2 linked regions of the Ovis aries genome follow. Each later gene encodes a partner of the first gene's protein in a complex. Links are inferred from orthologs where the notes say so. Each region holds a gene or a part of one and is shown on either strand. Other genes may lie near its edges. The genes, in order: RAF1 and RAP1A.

Region 1 (4,351 bases):
AATGGAACCCCTGTCTCTTGTATTGGCAGGTGGATTCTTTTCCACTGAGCCACCGAGGAAGCCGAGTCCTACACATAGTGTTGCTTCATCTTCATTTCCCTTTATACTGTACATAGGACTGACTATATTTTCTTTGGCTTTCTCTTTACAAGACAGAGCTTTTGATTATTGCTGACTTCCCAATACGGAGAATAACATCAGGCTTTCAATAAAAATTTAAATTAAAAAATGTACATGGTGTTGGGTAGCATTGTGTGCCCCTGTGAGAATGAACAGTCATTCTGTACATGTTCTACTTTTTAAAATGTAATGTCTTCGATGAAAAAAAAAAATCAGTATATAGAACTAGCTGATTCTTTTTAACAAATGGATATCATGGACTGTGGAGATAGCACCCTTTATTTGAGCAGTTTCCTTTTTAACTAAGTAACATTTTTTTCCAGTGTCATCTCTAAGGCAAACAGCATGGCAATGAACATTTTAGCGAGTGCCTTTTTGTGCTCTAGAATTAGTGTCCAGAGCGGACCTGCTGGGGCGATGGGTATATGCATTAAAATATCCATTTGTTGTTGCTGTTTAGTAGCTACACTGTGTCTCTTTTGCAACTCTATGGACTGTAGCCGCCAGGCTCCTCTGTCCATGGGGTTTCCCAAGCAAGAATACTGGAGTGGGTAGCCGTTCCCTTCTTCAGCGGTCTTTCAGACTCAGGGATCCAACCTGGGTCTCCTGCAGGCAGACTCTTTCCCGTCTGAGCCAGCAAGGAACTGAGACTCAGAAGTTTACTGACTTTCCCACATGATGGGTAAACGACAGAGTCGCGATGTGTCTCCTGATGCGTCGGACTCCAGGGAGAACACGCCAAAGCTGGACACTGTTCTCTACACTGAGTCCTCGGGCTCATTTGGTTATCTCTGGACCTTGAGATATCACCAGGCTGGCCTTCTTCTCCCTTTTAAGTCTCAGACTCCTTCGGGGCAGCTAAACTCTGACCCTCCTCGACCGCCACTCCGTTGGCCGATCAGCACCCGCCCTAGAGCCTTTACGGCTCGGAAATGGCGATCAGCGCGATCTCTAGGCCACGCCCACTGGGAGGTGGGACCAGAGTTCAGGCCAGAGCGATGGATGCCCGAGCCAAGTTTGAAGTCGGCTCCTAGGCGGGCTCGCGCAGAAGCAGAGCTGGTGGCGGCGCAGGTCGGGAGGAGGAGCACCGAATGTAGGGCTCGCCTGCCGGGGCCGCCCGAGAGTCTCTCAAGTGCGGGCGCTGGGGCCGCCATCTTAGATGGCGGGATTAAGGCGAGAACGAGAGTGAGACGGGAAGGCTTTCCTGCCGCTCTTGGGCCCCGGAGAGGGACAGGTGGCCGGGCTTTGGGGTGTGTGCCCTGAGGCCGCGGAGCGCGAGTGGGACAATGCGAGAGCTGCCCGGGGCCCCGTCCCCTGGGCTGGGGACGCGCCGAATGTGATCGCCTCCCGCTCCCTCACCCGCCGCGGGGAGGAGGAGCGGACCAGACGCCGCCGCCGGACGACTGGACGCGGAGGCGGCCGGGCTCCCTCAGGTAGGCTGCAGGGCCGGGCCGTGGGAGCGGGGCGGCGGGGCTGAGTGGGCCGGGTTCCCGGGCGGCCCGGCTAGGGCGTCGCTGACGGAACGGCCCCGCGGCGGTCGGGCGGAGGGCCGGGCCAGGCCGCTGTCACCCCGGGTGGCGCTGGGCGGGCGGGGGCCCCGGGGCTCGGTGTCATGGCCGGCGAGCCGAGTCCCCACATTCCCCACTCAGGATTTCCTTGTGTTTCGGGGAGACGTGCGGGCGCCACCCGAGTTCCCGCTGCACAGTCCTTGTGTTTCGGCCACGGGAAAATCCGCCCAGAGACGCCTCGAATCCGTGTTGTCACTGAGGTGGACCACCGTCGTTTCTTTCTGGCCGCAGAGTGGGGGGACCCGGGCTTGCATCTTCTCTCAAGTGACACCCTTTTCGGGAAGGTGAGAGCGGTCGGGGACAAGAGGAGGAAGTAGGTCGGTGTCCCACCACAAAGGACGGGATCGGGGCCTCCCCTTGGGGCTCAGGACTCTGCGCGTTACTGATGATACCGTTGGGATGCTTATACTGACGGTCGGCCCCAGGATGCTTGGGAATAAAGATCCAGGGCTCCTTTGTGTGAAGTGAGAGCCGCCTGGACGCTTCGGCTGTGCAGCTGCAGAGGCTCTGCAGAGCTAGTCGATGCCCCGAGAGAGGCGTTTGGACGTGAGGAGAGGCGAGGCGGCTGTGTTCATTCATTGTTCTCTCTCAGGGGGCCAGGGTGTGCCCCTTTCTCTGGTGGGAGGAAGGTTAGGGTCTGCTGTGCCTCCTCTAGGTGTGACGGGGTTCTGAAAAGTCGTAAGGAGGGAATGGATTCAGCCCGCGTTCATTATTTCTGCCTGCTTCGTCCGCTCGGGTCTGAGTGGAGGTAGGCGGCCCCTCTGTTCGCTCCCAAATGTGAAAACAAGACGCTGTGATTAGGATGGGTTTACCCAGGGTCGTGCTAGTTTGGTACGACTCATTTTGCTTGGGGGAGTTGAGGGAGCATGTAGACTGGAGGGGGATTTTCGTGCTGAGCAAATGCTCTTCAGGTGGGGAGGGCGGAGCAGGCTAAGCTGAGGAAACAGCTGGTACAGAGGCCCCGAGATGTGCAGGAGTTGGAATGAATTTGGGGAGCAGCAAGCCGTCTGGGGTGCAGGAAGGAAGTGGTGAGAGATGAGGGTCTGAAACAAAGGTTGCCTAGCTTGCGAAGGATCTTTCTTTGTTGAAGATCGTGAGCTAGTTGGTTTAATTGGAGTTATTTTAGACGAATGTTGCTAATTTTCTTGCTGATAATCGATTTTCCCCCTTCTCTTGATGATGTTAAAGCTGTTAGTAATTGCACAGATTTACTTTGTTAAGCTCCGTCAAGAACATTTTGATAAATGCTTTACGTCAAATATTTTGCTCTTGCACTGTGGTGAATGAACAGAATTCATATTTCTCGGGATTCTTGCAAAAGGTTCTTCTGAAGTTGTGCTTGGTCACAAAAGTGTTGTCTTTATAAATGTAAGGCAGTCTACTATAACCGCATTTTAAATGGTTGTTGACAACATAAATTGTGCTCCCCAGTTGCTTAGAAATTGGCAGATTATATGAAACAATCTGAAAAATTGTAGAATGCAACTATTTCTAGTTTAGTAGATGTTTTATATAGTAAACTGTTCGGATTGATTCTGTGGATTCCAGTTCTGTTTTAAAGTCTTTAGCTCTATGAACATAATTTTCCCCAAAGAGCTGTATTGTTGTGCTTAATGTTTGTGCTAAAGTGACTATTATGATATTAACAGACTTCATCTAGAAGTTCCTGAATCTTTTTTGGGTTGTGATGATTATATACCACTCCAGAACATTAAGATTAAAATTCTTTTGGTTTGTTTTCACCCTTATCACTTTAAGGGCTTGCTGTTTAAAATGCAACAGAAACATTTGACCCAGTTGAACACAGGATACTTGGGAAAATTAACCTGTTACTCTTTCTGTGTAAAAGCTTATTATCTTTTAGATATGCAGTGTTTGTGATTATAAGTTGTAGTGAAATTGCTTAGTTTTCTAAAATTCTTATTTAACAACAATTAAAAGATGTGTATGCCTTCAAAGGAGAAGGCTTGAGTGAAGTACAGGAGAACATATTTTATAGGTTTTGGTTTTGCAGGAGAAAACAGTGAGAAGCAGATTAAGCTGGTCACTTACGATGAAAAGTATCTAAAAGATCAAATGGAGAATGGTTAAACATTAAGTATTATATTTTAACTGCTCTGAGACTAGTTGGTTTTAGTTTAAAACAGGCCACTTGTGAAATCCAAAGTAGAAGTTTGCTCTGAGGATTAAACAGCAACTTCTTGGAAGTTAAATCTGACTTCTCCAGAAGCACTAGGTTACTTATTAAATGGAAAATATAATTAATAACTTCAAATTACTATTTCAAGTAACCTGTTTGTAGTAGGTGCATGATTCTATCACATTTTAATTCCAGATAAAGCTTTGTTAATAACCTGTTGCCTAAAAATAGAAAAATGTTACATGGGGAGTGCTTTTGTTTGCATGTTAACATAATAGCCCATACATCATAATCCTGGTCTTGGGAGGAGCTTGTTAGATGAACAGCATGCCTTAATGTTGACTTGCAGAAGAGAATTTTAACTAGTGCCTTTGAAAGGCAGTGGACTATGTGACAGTGGGGGGTTTATGAAACCATAAAGTCAAGCTTTGACTTAAAAAGATCTTTTGTTTTTTAAATCATGTGTGTTGTGAAAGTCAGTTCTCCGAAAAAAATGACTGTAGTTGGAAAATTGTTCACCTTG
Region 2 (3,814 bases), on another chromosome or scaffold:
CCTTGAGTGCTGAAGCACTTTTCTTAATCTCATATTTATTAAAAATTTTCCAAACCATTAATAGTTGGTACTTCTTTTGGCCAGCCTTCTCTTCTTCTGTAAAGCCCTGGGAAAATAGAATTTAGTACATGAAATTTCACCTTATGCACACAGCTTTTCCAAAGAAGTACCTTTTTGTTAAAGTCTTGAGAACTGTATGAGTTCAGTGTTATTGTGTTCCCTTTATCTCTTCAATTTAAATTTTACTCTGTATTAAATTTGGGGCACATTTTAGTAAAACTTTGACGACTTGAATGTGAAAAGTGGTCAGTTTTCTTTACTCCCAAATCTTGGCTATATTTTGAGCTACTTGGTACTTTTGCGCCTTATTTTGAAGACAATATAAATATACACACTTTATGCTGGTTTTTTTTCCTTTTAGAACTATACCTGTTTATTGCTGTTTTTCTTAAATTGCAGAATATAACCACTGCCTTCTAATAATAACAGAAATCAATGCTCATATTTCAGGGTGGTCAGAAAAATATCTAAACTGAGCATTAACAGTCCTGGTAGAATGTGTTTGAGACCTCCTATTCTTTATTATACTATCAAGTTAGGTCTCCACCAATATAGCAAACTGCTGGAGAAAGGCTTCCAGTTGTTAATAGGAACTTTGAGTGAAGAGGTGGGAGGAAAACAGACTGACATTTTGATGTTACTTTTTTATTCTCCTCCACCCCCAACCCTGACCCCAACAGCAAGTTGAAGTAGACTGCCAACAGTGTATGCTCGAAATCCTGGATACAGCAGGAACAGTAAGGATGTTTCTTTCTCTCTCTCTTCCTTTTTCTTGTTAGATTTTAATTTGTAAACAGGTTTTTGTCACCTGATTGATTCCTCTGAGTAAAAACTATTGTTCTGATTAAGAACTTAAGTCTCTAAATGTAAAACTTCTTAAATTTTCTTACGTGCATTAAATGTACTTAATGCCCACATATCACTATTAAATTGTATGTTGAGTTCACCTACAGAATCTGTGTGTTGAGTTTCTTTTTTCCTGTATTGAGGTGAGGGTTATGCTATTACTGCTCTTTAAAAAAAAAAAAGATATTTAAGGTATTTTAAATCCAGAATTTTAGTTAAAATAGGTATTTCTCTGGGCTTAAATAATACTGTCTCTTGATACCATGGTAATTCATTTATTTTAAAAATTGTTTTTGCTTTTTATTAACATTATAACATCTCAAGGGACTAGTGATATAGAAGTGTTTTCTGACAAAAATCTTTAGGATTATTTCGAGCCTCATTTTTCATATCTTTAAATGAGTATAATGATGATAGTACATTATAGGGTGCTTGTAATGATCAAATGGGGCTTCCCTGGTGATTCAGTGGTATAGAATGCACCTGCCAGTGCAGGAGACTCGGGTTTAGTTCCTGGGTCAGGAAGATCCCCTGAAGAACTAAACGGCAACCCACTCCAGTATTCTTGGCTGGGAAATCCTATGGACAGAGGAGCCTGGTGGGCTGCAGTCCGTGGGGTTGCAGAAGAGTTGGACGTGACTTAGCAGCTAAACAACAACATTGATCAAATGAGATGGTGACTATAAATCATTTGGCACAAAATACCTATAATATAGTTAATGAACTCTATGTATTTGCTTTTATTTTCATTATCTTCACTTGTCATTACCTTTTTAAGTTTTTTTATTGATTAATGATGTTTTATTCTGCCACAAAAAAATGCACACATTAAATGATTTTCTTTTTTTTTCTCCATATGTATAGACTTTTCCTATTAGGCAGTGCTCTAAAATGAATGGCATTCTTAAATGTTTTAAGTTGTTTTAAAATTCACAAATATCCCCCATTATAATTTTATAAATGGTGAGAAAGTTTCAGATCAAAAAACATGAGAAGACTGGAGCAATTAGAGTACAAATTATACCATATTTTTGTATCCTTTTGTGGGAAAATGGATCTTAATTCCAACAGTAGCCTTGTATCAGCTGAATTGAGGTCTCTCCCTCTTTCCACTTTCCCCAGCCCCCAATTTTCCTAGCTTCTGAATCAGCAATAATTCTCCTTTGTTTCCAAAGACCCCAACAGTTAAAAAACTTAAAAAAAAAAAACAAAAAAAACTTTTTACTTCTTCCTTTCATACTTCCACAACTGTGAGGACATTCTTCTTCCTCATGTCCAAATTAAAGAAGTTTTCCTCCACTGCAGAGATCCTCCCTTATTTTCTCAAATATCTTGTATTTCTCCCATCCTAGCAGTCAGCATGCTGTTATAATTTTCTGTATATTTGTCTATCCCCAGTGCCTTGCATAAAGGTTGGAAAGTAGTTGATGCTCATTAGTCTTATTCTAGATCAATTCTTTCTCCTTTAGGGTTGCTCACTTTCTCCAACACTGCTTTAGTCCAAAGTGTTGGTGATTTTGGTATCCAAATAGAATCTTTATGGGTAATATAGATGATTTAGTAGCTTGGCTTGTCAGTTTCTTGACCTCCACTCTGCTTCATTCATTCATTCCCATGTCTTTACTCTAGACTGTATGATAACCAATAACATAATACCATCCTAAATTTCATTTTCAAGTGTCTTACTCTTCACTCACCATCTTGTTTCTCCAGCTCACTTCCTTTCAAACCCTTCAACTTCTCTGGGACCTGCAGTCTGTTTATTCTAACATCTTTGATTATCCCTCATATCTTCAAGCCCCTCTTTTCGTAGCTCCAAGCACATGATCTGTCATTCAGAATACATCCCTCACATGTATCCTCAGTTCCCTTGACTTTTTCAGCAAGCTTTGATTCAGTAGAGCATTATCCTCCTCTGTGAAAATTTTATTCATGTGACTTCCAGGAAACAATGCTTGCCTGGTTTTCTCCTTGTATCATTCATTGTTTCTAAGTCCTGTCCTGATTTGGCTTCATCTCCCCAACCTGTTAATGTTGGAGGGCATCAGGGTTTACTCCTTGAACTTTTCTGAAAACACTACCTTGGAGATCATCTTTTGTAGCACCAAAATAATTTAATTAAAATCTAGATATATAAAAGAATTATATACAGTTTTTCTAAATCACACAAAGCCAAATTAAAGTGAGGACTTCCCTGGTGGTCCAGTGGCTAAGACTCCACCCTCCTACTGCAGGGAGCATGGGTTTAATCCCTGGTCAGGGAACTAAGACCTGCATGCTACAGTAGCCCAGCCAAAAAAAAAAAGAAAAGTGGTTAATATTTCCCTTGTAATTCTTACAGTTTGTTGTTTTTAGTCAGGTAAATAGGAGACAGGAACATTCATCTCAGATTTTCCAGAAGCTGTGTATCATGTCTTTAGGTTTCCTGTCACTATAACATGTAATAAAGAATTCAGTAGCTAACTTGTTATTATTCTGTTTTAAATTTTTTCCATTTTAATGTTTCAATTCAGTACATTTAAGGAGGAGTCATATTTATAATTTATTGCATGTTTTTATTATAGGAGCAATTTACAGCAATGAGGGATTTGTATATGAAGAATGGCCAAGGGTTTGCACTAGTATATTCTATTACCGCTCAGTCCACGTTTAATGACTTACAAGACCTGAGGGAACAGATTTTGCGAGTTAAGGACACAGAAGATGTAAGTATTTCTCTGTATATATAGCGTATTGCCATGTCTCTGTGGCCAAATATAAAATATCCATTTTCTCTATCAATAGGAACTCGGAGGGTATCTACCTTGTGCCTAAAAGAGGCCTGGTAACCAAAAACAATTTTAAGCTTTCTAAATTTACCCACAGATAATATACTGAGAGGACATCCCAGGTGGCTCAGTGGTAAAGA

Evidence for each region.
Region 2: the proteins of RAF1 (region 1) and RAP1A are in contact, whole or in part, in a crystal structure (PDB 3KUC), measured with the Homo sapiens proteins. The link is inferred for Ovis aries from reciprocal best matches to the Homo sapiens genes RAF1 and RAP1A. Residues at the interface, in NP_001341619.1 of Homo sapiens: Thr57, Arg59, Asn64, Lys65, Gln66, Arg67, Thr68, Val69, Val70, Lys84, Lys87, Val88, Arg89, Gly90; in NP_001010935.1 of Homo sapiens: Val21, Gln25, Ile27, Val29, Asp33, Pro34, Ile36, Glu37, Asp38, Ser39, Tyr40, Arg41.

What each region holds. Positions count from the first base shown.
Region 1 is NC_056072.1:56,409,784-56,414,134, forward strand, and holds the start of RAF1 (RAF proto-oncogene serine/threonine-protein kinase), read left to right. Parts: upstream 1-1,250; 5' UTR 1,251-1,553; intron 1,554-1,719; exon of another isoform or gene 1,720-1,972; intron 1,973-4,351. UniProt on the Homo sapiens protein: Serine/threonine-protein kinase that acts as a regulatory link between the membrane-associated Ras GTPases and the MAPK/ERK cascade, and this critical regulatory link functions as a switch determining cell fate decisions including proliferation, differentiation, apoptosis, survival and oncogenic transformation.
Region 2 is NC_056054.1:89,122,995-89,126,808, forward strand, and holds part of RAP1A (ras-related protein Rap-1A), read left to right. Parts: intron 1-740; coding exon 741-797; intron 798-3,470; coding exon 3,471-3,611; intron 3,612-3,814. UniProt on the Homo sapiens protein: Counteracts the mitogenic function of Ras, at least partly because it can interact with Ras GAPs and RAF in a competitive manner. Together with ITGB1BP1, regulates KRIT1 localization to microtubules and membranes.